2 linked regions of the Arabidopsis thaliana genome follow. The protein of the gene in region 1 interacts with the protein of each later gene in a pairwise test. Each region holds a gene or a part of one and is shown in the gene's direction. Other genes may lie near its edges.

The links. The genes of interacting proteins can lie anywhere in the genome.
Region 2: the proteins of ADL6 (region 1) and GAMMA-ADAPTIN 1 interact in a two-hybrid assay, tested with the Arabidopsis thaliana proteins (one study listed by BioGRID).

Annotation. Positions count from the first base shown.
Region 1 is NC_003070.9:3,368,576-3,376,431, forward strand, and holds the start of ADL6 (dynamin-like protein 6), read left to right. Parts: upstream 1-1,826; 5' UTR 1,827-2,198; coding exon 2,199-2,339; intron 2,340-2,622; coding exon 2,623-2,673; intron 2,674-2,769; coding exon 2,770-2,890; intron 2,891-3,019; coding exon 3,020-3,112; intron 3,113-3,456; coding exon 3,457-3,518; intron 3,519-3,688; coding exon 3,689-3,806; intron 3,807-3,952; coding exon 3,953-4,289; intron 4,290-4,394; coding exon 4,395-4,542; intron 4,543-4,868; coding exon 4,869-4,970; intron 4,971-5,050; coding exon 5,051-5,170; intron 5,171-5,437; coding exon 5,438-5,521; intron 5,522-5,605; coding exon 5,606-5,733; intron 5,734-5,836; coding exon 5,837-5,921; intron 5,922-6,038; coding exon 6,039-6,177; intron 6,178-6,402; coding exon 6,403-6,479; intron 6,480-6,549; coding exon 6,550-6,606; intron 6,607-6,888; coding exon 6,889-7,033; intron 7,034-7,120; coding exon 7,121-7,260; intron 7,261-7,599; coding exon 7,600-7,713; intron 7,714-7,826; and 1 more. Other genes in the region: AT1G10280 (Core-2/I-branching beta-1,6-N-acetylglucosaminyltransferase family protein), read right to left, coding at 1-164. UniProt on the Arabidopsis thaliana protein: Microtubule-associated force-producing protein involved in clathrin-mediated vesicle trafficking from the trans-Golgi network to the central vacuole. Able to bind and hydrolyze GTP. Binds specifically to phosphatidylinositol 3-phosphate (PtdIns3P).
Region 2 is NC_003070.9:8,439,534-8,447,092, forward strand, and holds the start of GAMMA-ADAPTIN 1 (gamma-adaptin 1), read left to right. Parts: upstream 1-1,545; 5' UTR 1,546-1,845; coding exon 1,846-1,877; intron 1,878-1,920; exon of another isoform or gene 1,921-2,234; coding exon 2,235-2,537; intron 2,538-2,712; coding exon 2,713-2,854; intron 2,855-2,952; coding exon 2,953-3,126; intron 3,127-3,390; coding exon 3,391-3,570; intron 3,571-4,094; coding exon 4,095-4,249; intron 4,250-4,483; coding exon 4,484-4,574; intron 4,575-4,677; coding exon 4,678-4,841; intron 4,842-4,974; coding exon 4,975-5,029; intron 5,030-5,181; coding exon 5,182-5,304; intron 5,305-5,389; coding exon 5,390-5,485; intron 5,486-5,611; coding exon 5,612-5,739; intron 5,740-5,985; coding exon 5,986-6,090; intron 6,091-6,190; coding exon 6,191-6,453; intron 6,454-6,613; coding exon 6,614-6,856; intron 6,857-6,945; coding exon 6,946-7,121; intron 7,122-7,242; coding exon 7,243-7,347; intron 7,348-7,523; coding exon 7,524-7,559. Other genes in the region: AT1G23890 (NHL domain-containing protein), read right to left, coding at 1-62, 148-348, 480-644, 961-1,131, 1,216-1,270. UniProt on the Arabidopsis thaliana protein: Subunit of clathrin-associated adaptor protein complex 1 that plays a role in protein sorting at the trans-Golgi network and early endosomes (TGN/EE).

The DNA of each region.
Region 1 (7,856 bases):
GATGAGAACATCCTCGGCAAAGAATTGAAGTAGCGATCGATGTGAGAACTTGCGGCGAGACCGATGATGATTCCAGCCATGAAAATTAGCAAAAACGACAGCGTTTGCGCCAGCTTTAGTAACCCTATGTGTTTTTCTCCTTCCTCTTTCCCTCCTCTCGCCATTGTTCGAGAAACTCAAAACTTGTCTACCCAAACAACAACACAGTGATGATCTCTGTTCCCCAAAAATAAAGTTTCAGGGAAACATTCTTATGATTCAAAGAGAATCTGATTGTTTCAAGCACAAATCCATTGCATTCAATCTCCTCGAGAAATTTCCTAAATTTGTAACATATAATTAAATCCAAGGATCAAACGAAATCGAAAAAGGTAAGTGGATAAATGGAAATTGGATCTGTGGAAATCTTCGAGGAAAGTGAGAAACGATGACTGAAACAGATCAGAAACTGAATTTCATGCAGAGAGGAAGAAGAAGAAGAAGAAACATAAACAAATCTGGTCTTTTGTTTCTTCCAGTTGAAATCTATGTGTGTGTGTGGTTGATTTTGATCTTATATATATAAAAGAACAAAATTAATTGGAATGTTATGCTTAATTTAATTAGATTAATTGAGTTTAAAACTCCACGTCGAAAAGCATAACGAGTTCAAAGTCCGCAGATCTTGCCAGATGGGAATAATCTATTGGTTTTAAGTTATTGGGCCGGAGGGCCCACGTTTAATTGTGACGTGGTTTAGTGCTCGTCAACTCTTTGGTCCGACATTTCACTTTTTTTTTTATAGAAATAATTCTAGATATCCAGTAGTCAAACTTATTGATTATCTAATTTCTATATCCTTACTATTTTTAAAAAAATTACTTTTAACATTTCTAGAATTTTTCGATTTTTTCTGTACTTATTAACTATTAGTAAAATTTATTGATGCTTCTTTTGGTTATGTTATAGTATTGAGACAATGTATTGTATTCTAATTTTGATTTTTTTTTTCCTTTTTAATGATTTGTAGATTTTGTTTTTTCATTATTATATTTGAAAAAATATCTTCTTATATCTTAATCACCAGAAAATCTAAAACCGATGGCTATACTAATTTCCGGAATATATGAAATGTTTATTTTTCTATTAAGGATCCAAAGCAGCTAATTAAGATTAAAAACTTGGGAAGAACTAGTATCCCAAACAAACAATATGATATCCAGATGTCCAAAAGGAAAAAGAAATGGTATCAAAAGAACCAAGAAATGTGCCTAGAAATTTCATATAGTTAGCTTGGAAATTTCTGATTTTTATGTCCAATGTTTATTTATTTTTTCCTTATAATTATACTTGTCATACATCACAAAGAATTGTCAACATTGCCAAACTAGTCCTAAGATGTTGGAAGGTATGATGATAGACAACAGTTCTAAAGAAGGGAAGATGAGATTCAGGCAACAAAAAACACATATAGTTCAAAAAAATTAGGTTGGTAGGATCAATTATTCAAAAAACATACACCAAATAGATTTTAGTAGGGGTTGTTTGTCCAAAAAAAAACTATAATAGTTTACGAAAATAGTTACACCTTGTGAATAGATTTTTTGTTTGCCTTCCCTTGAGGTAAATTATGTCGCGAGAACTATATGAACAACAACGAGATCCACAACAACATTTGATTACATTTTTATTTGAACCTTCACATTGATTTAGTAATGTGGGATTCCAACATCATCTAATGTTATATGAATGGATCTAATAGATGATAAATTGTTAAATGAACTGATAATTTTTTTTTATTTTTTTATGTGTATTTCACATCACATTGTTTTTTTTTTTTTTTTTTTAAGTAAGAAAAAGAAGAAGCACTTGAGACCGATCAGAAAAAAATTAGAAAGATATGATTTTTGTAAGTCTTTTGAAATTTGAATCTTGTCCCGTGTAATTGTGAAATCTTACGTACGTCCTCTTTATGACCTCGTCTTCGCTCATTTCTGCCTTCCCTTACGAAATCCCCAACGAAAAATCTTAGCTTAACACCATCGCGACCGGATTCCAAATTCCGGCCCATCGTCTCACCGGGAAAGACCCCGCCTATTGCCGCCGATTTCGGTTCCGGTCTGCTCAGATCTAATCGAGTGGCTTCCTTCTTCCTCCAGATCTCTTCACTTTGAATCGGTTACTCGATCTCGATTCGCGGAGGGCTTTTGCTAGTCGCGATGGAGGCGATCGATGAGTTGTCTCAGCTCTCAGATTCGATGAAGCAGGCGGCGTCTCTCCTCGCCGACGAAGATCCCGACGAAACCTCTTCTTCCAAGCGCCCTGCCACTTTCCTCAACGTCGTTGCCTTGGGAAATGTGGTGAGTTCCTCGCTCTCACTCCACGCTCCTCGATTTTCCTCTCTTTAGGCTCGTGCTGGTTTTATTCTGTGTTCGAGTGTATGTTGGATTGCCATATCGTGGATCTTCTGGATCTAGATTAGGTTTTTATCGAATTTTGCTAGGACACACTCATCGTTTATAGCTAGTTTTGTTGGGATTCTCTTTATTAGTGGATATATGGTTACATGAGGAGCGACTCGTGCCGGAGAAGGCTGATGTATTTTGTTATTTGTTACTTATCTCTTTTTGCATACTGAACCAGGGAGCTGGAAAGTCTGCAGTTCTAAACAGTCTAATTGGGCATCCAGTGCTGGTAAGTTGTACATTGAGTCTATGGTTATTATTGGCTTACTCCTTTTCTTATACTAATACTGACCTCTGTTGTGTCTGCTACACTTACTATACACAGCCGACGGGTGAGAATGGTGCTACACGAGCTCCTATAATAATTGAATTGAGCAGGGAGAGTTCTTTGAGCAGCAAGGCAATTATCTTGCAAATCGACAATAAATCTCAACAAGTTTCTGCAAGTAAGTCTCTATCTATGAACATATGCAATTTAGCAATGCTATGTGAGGCTCTTTCTGCATTTATGATAAAAAAATTTCGATCAGTCTTCTCATAATATCTCCATTGTGTTCTACATGGGTATATTTTAGGTGCTTTGAGACATTCTCTGCAAGATAGACTTAGCAAAGGAGCCTCAGGGAAGAATCGTGATGAAATAAACTTAAAACTTCGTACCAGCACAGGTAAGCCCCTTTTTACTTGCACAATCATAAGTGGCAAGCCTATATCTACTCTTCAAATAGCACATCCTTAGCTAACCTAAGTTGGGTGTATGAATTTATCTTTGATACCCGTGAACTGGTCAGCTGTAATATCTTGCTATCCTTATATACTATCTAGTACACTAGTTTAGAGCTTCTAGCTTTACTTTGGTGGGTATCAGATTAAATATCTAACGGAGCTTTAACATAAACAGTACACACTCTTTTGAACATGAGTTATGACATATGACATATGACCGACAGTTTCGTAGTATTAAATTTTCTTTGACCATCATAACCTGTTACGTTTACCCTTTACATTGCAGCTCCACCATTGAAATTAGTTGATCTGCCTGGACTGGACCAGAGAATTGTGGACGAGTCAATGGTGAGGCTTGGAACTACTTAATGCCATTGTCATATCCTTAACTTGCCTGACAACCACGAAACAAAAGATTTTGACTATTTTTATCGGTTTCCTACTGAAGTGATAATATAGATTCATTATCATGTTTATCCTTTTGAAATTGTTGTTTGTTTCTTGGGTCTCTTTGCAAGATTGCTGAATACGCGCAACACAATGATGCCATACTGCTGGTTATAGTGCCTGCTAGCCAGGCATCTGAAATTTCATCATCCCGAGCCCTGAAGATTGCAAAGGAGTATGATCCAGAGAGTGAGTACATCTGTATTTCCGATCTGTCTTATCTTAATATTGTTTATTATTTGTATACCTGATAAGAACTGTTGATTTACCTACCTATTATCACTTCAGTTTGCTTAAAATACTCATTAGCTAACATCACTCCTCCCTACTTATAGGTACTAGGACAATAGGCATTATTGGAAAAATTGACCAGGCAGCAGAGAACTCGAAAGCCCTTGCAGCTGTTCAGGCTCTTCTTTCAAATCAAGGACCTCCAAAAACAACTGACATTCCATGGGTTGCTGTTATTGGCCAATCCGTTTCAATTGCGTCAGCACAGTCTGGAAGTGGTGAGAACTCCTTAGAAACTGCTTGGCGTGCTGAGAGTGAAAGTCTTAAGTCCATTTTGACTGGGGCTCCACAAAGCAAGCTTGGCAGAATTGCGTTGGTGGATACCCTTGCTAGCCAGATTCGTAGCAGAATGAAGCTCAGGCTTCCAAGTGTCCTGTCTGGGTATTGCTTCTCTCCATATATGTGCTTTCTTCATGATTTTTATTATGGTGTTGGCATATGACATTGGTTGCTTGAACGCATATGGCTTTCAAATTCTTTGTACAGGCTCCAGGGTAAGTCTCAAATAGTGCAGGATGAGCTAGCGAGGCTTGGTGAACAACTAGTTAACAGTGCTGAAGGTACAAGGGCTATAGCTTTGGAGCTTTGCCGTGAGTTTGAAGACAAGTTTCTTCTGCACTTGGCTGGTGGTGAAGTAAGTACATTCTTACAAAAGTTAACTAGATTTAGTCGAAAATTCAAGAATATAGTGAGAGAGAAGAACTCTTCAAATATTAGCAATCAGCCATTTCAGATTTGGTACTAGTGTAGTGGAAAGTCTCTTGCTAGCCTACGCTTGGTAAGAGCACATTATATTGTTGGGAATCTCATGAATCTGATAGTGGATGTTTATAATATGTGTATAAGCCAACTGAGTGTTTGATATAGAGTTTTTGTACTTGTCTGTGTTCAGTTTATGGGCTGAAGTCCCTTTTGGAGCTTGGCAAATGTTTTTCTCAAAACTTTTTGATTCTTGTTCAGGGAAGTGGTTGGAAAGTTGTTGCAAGTTTTGAAGGAAATTTCCCCAACCGTATCAAGCAGCTTCCATTGGATAGACATTTTGACCTGAACAATGTTAAAAGGGTGGGTGTCTTCTTCTGTCCTAAGTTTCTGCACGAGACAAGTTTTGAGACTTGATTTGTCAAAATATCTTTGATTTTCAGGTTGTTTTGGAGGCAGATGGTTATCAACCTTATCTTATATCTCCAGAGAAAGGGTTGAGATCGTTGATAAAGATTGTCCTTGAGTTGGCTAAAGACCCGGCACGCCTTTGTGTTGATGAGGTGTGCTTGTTTACATGTTTTTTTAGGTACATGCAGTAGGATTGAATTTTAGAAATTTACTGCATTGTGAACTGGCTATGGCTTGTCTCACTTTAATTCTTCGAACTGTTATTTAGAGTTCTGTCAAGTTTTCTGGTTTATAAGCCTTAGTAAGTTAATATCCCTTACCGTAGATGTAGCTATTTTTTGGTTCCTACTTTAAAACTCATGCATCCAGCTTCTGTCTTATTTACGTGTTGAGCTAACATGGTCTTAACTTTTGATTAGGTTCACCGAGTTCTTGTTGACATAGTTTCAGCTTCTGCAAATGCTACACCTGGACTTGGGAGATATCCTCCTTTCAAGCGAGAGGTAATAATGATTTTTTGGTGCTTTATTCAGTAATATTTTATCATTTCGGTAACAGTTATTCCTTTCTGACTAATCATCAACCAGGTTGTAGCTATAGCAAGTGCAGCACTTGATGGTTTCAAGAATGAAGCCAAGAAAATGGTGGTTGCACTAGTTGATATGGAACGCGCTTTTGTACCACCTCAACATTTTATCCGTCTTGTGCAAAGGAGGTATTTTGGCTTGTCTTTCTTTGCAATTTTTGTTTTTATTTTCAATGGTTCATGACTGAAAATTATTTCTCTTTCTGACGATGCACTGTATTGACTCCATCAGAATGGAAAGACAACGTCGCGAGGAAGAGCTGAAAGGGCGATCTTCTAAGAAGGGACAAGATGCAGAGCAGTCCCTTTTAAGCAGGGTGTGTGTTCATTCTGTATCAATTTGGATATACGTAGTGAAAAATGTTTTTTTTTTTTTTTTATCGTTTTACATGAAAATATATAATGTGGAAATTCTCTACATATATGTTTATCAGGCTACTAGTCCTCAGCCAGATGGGCCAACAGCTGGTGGTAGCTTAAAATCAATGAAAGACAAACCTAGTCCGCAAGATAAAGAGACGCCGGAGGTCTCTGGTCTGAAAACTGCTGGACCTGAGGGGGAGATAACAGCAGGTTGTTATTCTAATATACATCTACCCAGTTACTGTCTAAAAAGTTTCATTCTGCTTTTTCACTCCCGATTTGCTTTCCTTACGTTGCATGATTTTATTGCTGCAAAGCTTTGCTCTTAGTCCAAGTGCATGATTTCTTCATGTCTTTTTCTTCTTTATCACTTAAAACTAACTTGACAAAACTAACTTCCAAGGTAGATAACAAATACTTACTCTTTTCATTTAGGGTACTTAATGAAGAAAAGTGCAAAAACAAATGGGTGGAGTAGGCGATGGTTTGTTCTGAATGAGAAAACTGGAAAGGTCAGCATTTTGAAACGTATATTCTTCAGTTGTTGAGAACTTACTGACTTTACTGTTTACCTTTTTCTAGCTTGGCTATACCAAAAAGCAAGAAGAAAGAAACTTTCGGGGCACGATAACTTTGGAGGTACCATTCTCTTCCTATGCTTTATTTTCTGCCAAAGGTGAACTATAATTAGATATGACATGGAAAAAAGAATTAGAGAAGAATATAGTTCGTATTCACCTTGTTATTTTCTCCCACACTGTTTCCTTCTTGGAGAGTGACAATTACTTGTGTATTTTGAAGCTTATGCTTCAAATATTTAATAGTTCTGTTATTATCGATGAGAAATTTGGATACTCTATAGATAACATTTTTTCCATGTTTTTCTAATTATACTTCCTCCAACTTTATTAATCCACTCAGGAATGCACTATTGAAGAAATCCCCGAGGACGAAGTAGAAAAGTCAAAGAGCTCGAAGGACAAGAAGGCAAATGGACCTGATTCAAAAGGACCAGGCCTTGTGTTTAAAATAACCTGCAAGGTTCCCTATAAGACTGTACTCAAAGGTACATAAATCAATCATTATAAGAATTCAAACTTCTTAATCTTCTATTCGCACTTTTATGAGTTTTCCTCAAACTATTATGTTGCAGCTCACAATGCCCTTGTGCTTAAGGCTGAGAGTGTAGTCGACAAGAACGAGTGGATTAATAAGTTGCAAAAGGTTATCCAGGCTCGTGGAGGCCAAGTGGGCAGTGTTTCCATGAGGCAGAGTCTTTCAGAAGGTTCACTTGTGAGTCACTCATGGGCAGCTTTTCTTACATTTCCTCTTCCTTAAATCTATGTTAGATACGTTCACTAGTCTTATGGATTACTTATTATCACTATGAAGAAAGTTTGAAACTTCACTTCGGAAGGTTTGAAACTGTTGGAAGAGCAAACAAAGCTATTTATGTTTTATTGAACATTGTCGAATTTTTATTATTGAAACATTTTTCCTATAGAAGGCTCAGTTTATGGGGTATGCATGATACTACTTTTAAACTTGACATAAGTTATGTTTGACATTTAAGGTTTTTATTGTTTATAATATTTTCTGAGACTTACGTTTTTTTCCTTGTCTGTATTTCAGGATAAGATGGTTAGGAAACCCATCGATCCAGAAGAGGAGCTCCGGTGGATGTCCCAAGAAGTACGGGGTTACGTTGAAGCTGTTCTTAACAGCCTTGCAGCCAATGTTCCAAAGGTGAACTATCCTTATGCAAAAGCTCGAAAGCTCTAAATTTTCTTGTCCATCTCTTTTCTCTTACAGAGATTCCTCGGTCATGCTACTAAGCGATGTGAATTGACCATGAACAGGCTGTTGTTCTTTGTCAAGTAGAGAAAGCA
Region 2 (7,559 bases), 5.1 Mb from region 1:
GGCTACCCCGAGAATGCAGGAAAGGACAATCCCTATTGACCAAAGAGAGTATGTCCCCAAATCTGAAACAGTGAAAGAAGAATCGTTGAAGTTTCCAAAGGCATGGTTAGTCAAATCCACAAAAGATTACTTATAGAAAAGACATACTAGAATGAGAGTTTTCGAGGCAATCCTCCTCCTTAAGATTTATCTGGCGAATCATTTCATTTCCATGATCAGAAACAAGCAAACAACATCTTTGAGGAACAAAAGTTATCTCGAAATCGCTAGAGAAAGTAGCATTCTGTGCAGGTCCATCTCTGTGTCCAAATGCCTTTGAGATCCCTCCAGCAATGGTGGTTACAGAACCTACAAAGTCCAGTAAATAAAACATGCATAATCAAAATAAACTAAGTGGCTCTTTCAACAAACTAAGATTAGACAACAACAACAACTAGCATTTATACAAAAGGAATACAAGAAATGGATTAAACAAACACCTGAAGAGCTGATCTTCCGTATAGCTTTATTACTCTTATCAGCAACATAAACATTCCCTTTAGCATCCACAGCAAAACCACGGGGTTTGCTGAACCGGCTGTTACCAGCTTTACCATCTACATGACCCGAACTCCCATCCCCAGCAAACCGGTTTATCACACTATCTGCACAACCACACACACATACTCAAAGTGAGCTCAAACTTCAATTGAAAGAAAGATAAACAAAATTTTCACTTATAGTAAAGTTTAGAACTTTTATTTGCAGGTTGATCGTTTCACACACATACACACACATATTAGTATTGTGGTCCAATTTGAGATTACGGAGAAAGAAAAAATGAAGGTCAAGACTTGCAATCAAAATCAACAAGCTCTAAACATTTACTTATGCATCCATGAATTTACAACTCATATACAAACACAATTATAATGATCCGATTAATAGATGAGACAAAAGAGTGGTTTTGTGGGTGTTTACCAACGGACAAAGGAAAGGAAGTAGTGTAAAATGTACTGCCGGAAGAATCAAGGACGATCAGATTAGAAGATCCTGGTAAAGCATGAATCGTGTATGGATTCAGACCAGACTTATGGCCATCGACCACCGTTGTGACTTCGTACCCTTCTTCTAAAACTATCTTACCACTCACTGTAACAAAATCATGAGGAAAATTAAAAATTCGAATTTTGGGTTGGGAAATTCAACTGAATTAACAGATTTTTGAAAATATACCCAGATTGAAAACGACGAACAAGAAGAGAGACACGGACGAAAATCCCCAAGCCATGTCAAAATCGAGAGGAGAAAGCGACTGTTCTGTGTAACTTGTGTTGTGTTACTTATTTTTGCTGCTTAGCATCTTTAAAGGTTTTAAAAAGATACTAGGGCCTGAGCGATACTATGATGTGTTCAAGTGTAGGGGAGAATTTGTGTAACAACCAATGAAAGAGCGCGTATCATCGACCCTCTCAAATTTGACTAATAAAAACGGCCCAAGTAGGGCCCATTTATGTGTTTAACTATAAAGAAACGGCCCAGTCTATGTTTTTGTTTTGAGAGGATTGCTGGTCGAAACGTTACCGTTTAGGTGGAAATGGAAGTCATGTTTATACAACGCATTTAATTTGGCAATTATGGTTTACGAAGACTGAGAAGAAAAAAACGAGCATCGTCCATCGAGATCCAAATCCTCAGTTTCATTTTCATCTCTCTCTCTCGTATTGATCAGCTACTCGAAACTCCGGTAACGGATTTTCACAATCCCGGCGGCGAAACTCTTCTTCCCGGCTAAGTTTTCATTTTCTTCAGATTCCTCGTAAAGTTGCCGGTGGACCAAGGTCCAACTCTTGAACACCCCAAATCATGAATCCCTTTTCTTCTGGTACTCGTTTAAGGTAAATTGATTCTCTTCTTTCCTTTTTATCGTTTCTGTTTCAGGTTTCTTAGTCGTTGATCAGCTTACAAATGAAATTTGAATATAACATGATGTAATTGAGCTCGTTTTCATTTGAGGATTGAATTTTGTTGATTGGCCTGTTTCGAAGATGAATTTGGTATTGGTGTTTCTGATTCCATTTAGAATTTTGATTTTAGTCTAAGAACATGATCACACTAAGGATTTTTGGTAATCCTTTTGCTTAATTTAATTGAATATTGGATTGGTCATGTTGCTGTTGGGGTTTAATAGTGGAATCAGATCGGATTATTGTATATGGTTCTGAAGTTATAGTGGACATATGAGTATGATTCAGGGACATGATCCGTGCCATAAGAGCATGCAAAACAGCTGCGGAGGAGCGAGCTGTTGTAAGAAAGGAGTGTGCCGATATTCGAGCATTGATTAATGAAGATGACCCGCATGATCGGCACCGGAACCTTGCGAAACTCATGTTTATACACATGCTGGGTTATCCCACACACTTTGGGCAGATGGAGTGCTTGAAGCTAATTGCATCTCCTGGATTTCCAGAGAAGAGGATTGGATATCTAGGGCTAATGTTGCTTCTTGATGAGAGACAAGAAGTGTTGATGCTTGTCACAAATTCGTTAAAACAGTATCCTTACTAATTTCTAGTATTAAATCTTGATACCTTGGCCTTTGAATGGATTCTTCTTCTATGTTAAAAAATACTAGAGAACACTTGATTTTTGATTGCATTGCTGTTATGGGAATTAAGGAGAAAAATATTTAAATAGATTTGTTCCTGTTTAACCTTAAGTCACGTGCAGAGATCTTAATCACTCGAACCAGTATGTTGTAGGACTTGCTCTCTGTGCTTTAGGGAATATTTGTTCAGCAGAAATGGCCCGTGATCTTGCGCCAGAAGTAGAAAGATTAATCCAGTTTCGTGACCCTAATATCCGAAAGAAGGTGAAGTGTTTTCTAATTCATATACAGGGTCTCCTGGAGTTTAGTCGCTTTTTTTTTTTCCTTCATTGCCTTTACCATTTATGTTGTATTATATGCAGGCGGCGCTTTGCTCTACTAGAATAATAAGGAAAGTTCCAGATCTAGCAGAAAACTTCGTAAATGCTGCTGCTTCCTTGCTTAAAGAAAAGCATCATGGGGTTCTTATAACAGGAGTTCAACTTTGTTATGAATTATGCACGATTAATGATGAAGCCCTAGAGTACTTCAGAACGGTAAGTCTATAAATATTATACAGAACACTCTACTTATGCATACAGGAGCATCGACGTAATTTAATTGAATATGCGTACATATGATACTATATTACCTGTATGATGCTTTTGTGTACTATTTTTCTCTTGCAATAAAGTTTGATATCTGTGGTATTCACTTATAAATAGATTACTCTGCTGAAATGAGGCAGACAATCAGGTTGTTATATTGTTTTATCAGACCGTCAGTTTTGACAAACCCTTGTCTTTGTTTTGTCTCTGCAGAAATGCACAGAGGGACTGATAAAAACTTTGAGGGATATTACTAATAGCGCATATCAGCCTGAGTATGATGTTGCAGGGATCACAGACCCTTTTCTCCACATACGGTTGCTCAGGCTCTTGCGTGTTTTAGGCCAGGGTGATGCTGATGCTAGTGATTTGATGACAGATATACTTGCACAGGTTAGTCATAGTTTAGCAAGTGATTCTGGATATGGTTGACCATCTTCACATTTGCGATGTAATTCCTTTGTTAAACATCAACGGTTTATGGTTTTTGTTCCAGTTACCTTACATATATTTTTTCGGAAAAATGTTGTAAGATAGCTATGCTCTCTCATGTGCTGGAACTGATTCTGTTAAATATAGCATAATGGAGAAAGAATTTCATTTCGTTGATAGGGTTCATGGGCTATTATTCTCTTTGGTAGATAGAAGACTTATTGGTTACTGAGTTTTTGCCGTACTTGAATTCTCCCTCTTTTGATACCGGTCTTTGTTGTCATAGTAAGTGTTGATTTGTGGACGGACATATAAATCTGTAGGCTGCGCCAATCCTTTTCTATCTCACCATGATGAATGCATCCTGCGTCTGTTACATGCTTTGTTTTGGAAATCTTTTGAGTTCAAAGTCAGGGATCTACTGTCGGATACTTTGTTATCCTGGTTCTTTGATATTTATTCTCGTTGGTTTCATGCTATTGTAGGTGGCAACAAAAACTGAATCAAACAAAAACGCAGGGAATGCGGTACTCTATGAGTGTGTTGAAACAATCATGGCCATTGAAGACACCAATAGCTTGCGTGTGCTTGCTATCAATATCTTGGGAAGATTCTTATCTAACCGCGACAATAACATCAGGTTCAACCCCCTACACCTCAATTTTATTTGATAATAGTATGGTATTATATATGTTTGTAATGGAACTAGCTTACTTGTATTTTTCTTCTGTCTATCATCTTTCTTTGGATGTGCTTAACTCTATGAAGCACACAATGCTCTTCTGACCAACCAGCGTTGCCTTTTCTAATCTTGATTTCGTTTCTCTCAAAAACGCTGCATTCCCTTATGAAATTCATACTTTCGTTCTCTCAGATATGTTGCATTAAACATGCTGATGAAAGCTATCACTTTCGATGATCAAGCAGTGCAAAGGCACAGAGTTACAATTTTGGAATGTGTGAAGGTATTAGTATTACCAGGAAAATATTTTATACAATGTTAACTGCTAAGTATATCTTAGAGAAATAAAAAATGCTAATTTGGTTTCTGCTTCCATAACAATATAGGACCCAGATGCTTCTATCCGGAAAAGAGCTCTTGAGCTTGTCACTCTTTTGGTGAATGAAAACAATGTCACACAACTGACAAAGGAGCTAATTGATTATTTGGAAATCAGCGACGAAGATTTTAAGGAAGATCTTAGTGCAAAAATTTGTTTTATCGTTGAAAAGTAAGTATTCTATTTAAGAAATAGAATGACTACTTACTCTGAGAAAGTTGGGGGTCAGGATGATTGGAAAGTTACTGTGAATGTCTAGTTGATTGAAGTTTTTGTTGACTTTTTAAATTTTTTGATAATGTAGGTTTTCTCCAGAAAAACTATGGTACATTGATCAGATGCTCAAGGTTCTGTGTGAGGTATGGATTCAAACGCGAGAATATGCTCTGTAACGTGTTACCAGTTAATTGCACTCTTTGAAATCGTTTGAGAGTTTATATCTGCTTAAGCTAATTTCAAATGCATTGTTTGTATCTGTCATAACCTATTGTCATCTATTCCATGTTAGTAGGCTGGAAAGTTTGTGAAAGATGATGTGTGGCATGCACTTATTGTTGTCATAAGCAATGCATCAGAGCTTCATGGATATACAGTTAGGGCCTTGTACAAATCAGTCTTGACTTATTCGGAACAGGTAGCTATTTTCTAATGTTAGATTGTGCTCAGTCCTCAATCAGTTGTAACCCTTTCTAATATGGTTTCGTTGAGATGATAACCAGGAGACCCTTGTCCGAGTGGCGGTATGGTGCATTGGGGAATATGGTGATCTGTTGGTTAACAATGTGGGGATGCTTGGTATTGAAGATCCAATAACGGTGAGCATCACAATGGCAATCTTAATTCATTATTTGCTCCATGATAAATATGCAGATGCTTTTGCTTCTTGGGATTTCATTTTTGCTTTGAAAAATATGCAACGAGTATGTGACTGCCTTGAGCAGGTAACGGAATCTGATGCAGTGGACGTTATCGAGGATGCCATTACTCGCCATAACTCAGATTCGACTACAAAAGCAATGGCATTGGTTGCTCTACTGAAGTTGTCATCCCGCTTTCCTTCTATTTCAGAGTATGTCTGACCTCGTTGTGCTATCTGTTTTTATCTCAACTCGTTCATCTGATATCTGCACTTATCCCTTTTCAACTCTACACAAGATGCATATGCGCACTAGTATATGAATAATAAATTTTGGTCTGTCTACAAGAAACTGTAGCGCGTTGCCTTCTGAAAAAAGATTAGAAATATATTATACATGTACATCCTGTCCTCAACTCTCTATTGATAATTAAAAAGTTTTCTAAAATTCAATGACAGGAGAATTAAAGACATAATTGTGAAGCAGAAAGGAAGCCTTCTCCTTGAAATGCAGCAGAGAGCTATTGAATACAATTCTATAGTTGACAGGCATAAAAATATCAGGTGGAATCCCTTGTGCCTCTCTTCCTCATCTATCTTCTAGTGTAAGTTTTTCATATTCTCTCTCCCTCAAAGCTCATGATAGAGGTATGTGTGCATACAGGTCTTCTCTGGTTGACAGAATGCCGGTACTGGATGAGGCTACTTTCAATGTGAGGAGGGCCGGCTCTTTTCCTGCATCAGTTTCAACCATGGCCAAGCCTTCAGTTAGCCTTCAAAATGGTGTTGAGAAACTTCCTGTCGCTCCTCTTGTGGACTTGCTAGACCTAGATTCTGACGATATCATGGCTGCACCTAGTCCATCTGGTACAGATTTCCTTCAGGATCTTCTCGGTGTAGACTTAGGTTCATCGTCAGCACAATATGGTTAGTTCTTTGGCGGTTCTACAGCTCTTGCGTTCATATTATGGCGTGCTCATCTGCTATGTGTCTCTGAATGAACAAGTTTTTAAAAAAATCATTTTCCTCATTGCCTTGCAAAAGGATAACTCATGTTTGGTCTTCCATTTTTTATCCAATGATTCAGGTGCAACCCAGGCTCCAAAAGCTGGCACAGATCTGTTGCTGGATATTCTATCAATTGGAACACCTTCTCCTGCACAAAACAGCACATCATCTATTGGTTTATTATCAATAGCTGACGTTAACAATAATCCCTCAATTGCGCTAGACACACTTTCTTCACCAGCTCCACCTCACGTAGCAACAACTTCGTCCACCGGTATGTTTGATTTGCTAGATGGTCTTTCTCCAAGCCCATCGAAGGAAGGTAGGAAAAAGTCTTAACCTGAAAAAGATCTGTATAATCATTGAAACTCTTTTACAAAGGTCAATAACAAGTTTTCCTCCTTATTGCAGCCACCAATGGTCCAGCTTATGCACCTATTGTTGCATACGAGAGCAGCTCCTTGAAGATTGAGTTCACCTTCTCAAAGACACCAGGGAATCTGCAAACGACAAATGTCCAGGCTACTTTTACTAATTTATCTCCCAATACTTTCACAGATTTTATATTCCAGGCTGCTGTTCCAAAGGTAATTACATCTATCTTCTTTTTTTGCTTTTTTCCCCTTTATTCATCTTTCCCAATTGATAAAGCAGTAAATAGATTTCAATTTTTTCTTTAACCTTCTCTTTCTTTTGTGTAACTTCCAGTTCCTCCAGCTGCACTTGGATCCAGCTAGCAGTAACACACTCCTGGCAAGCGGTAGTGGTGCCATCACGCAGAATCTAAGAGTCACTAACAGCCAGCAGGGGAAGGTATGGCACATTCTCTGTTCGTCTTTCTATCTAACTTTATGTCTTCAACATTCCGTGCTCAGCATTGATGAATAGCACTTGATGATCCACAACATAATCTATGCTCAAATAAAGATAGGCTGAGCCTGTGGATTCAGTGACTTAACATAACACTAAGGGTTTAATGTTTATTGCAGAAATCTCTTGTGATGCGCATGAGGATTGGGTACAAA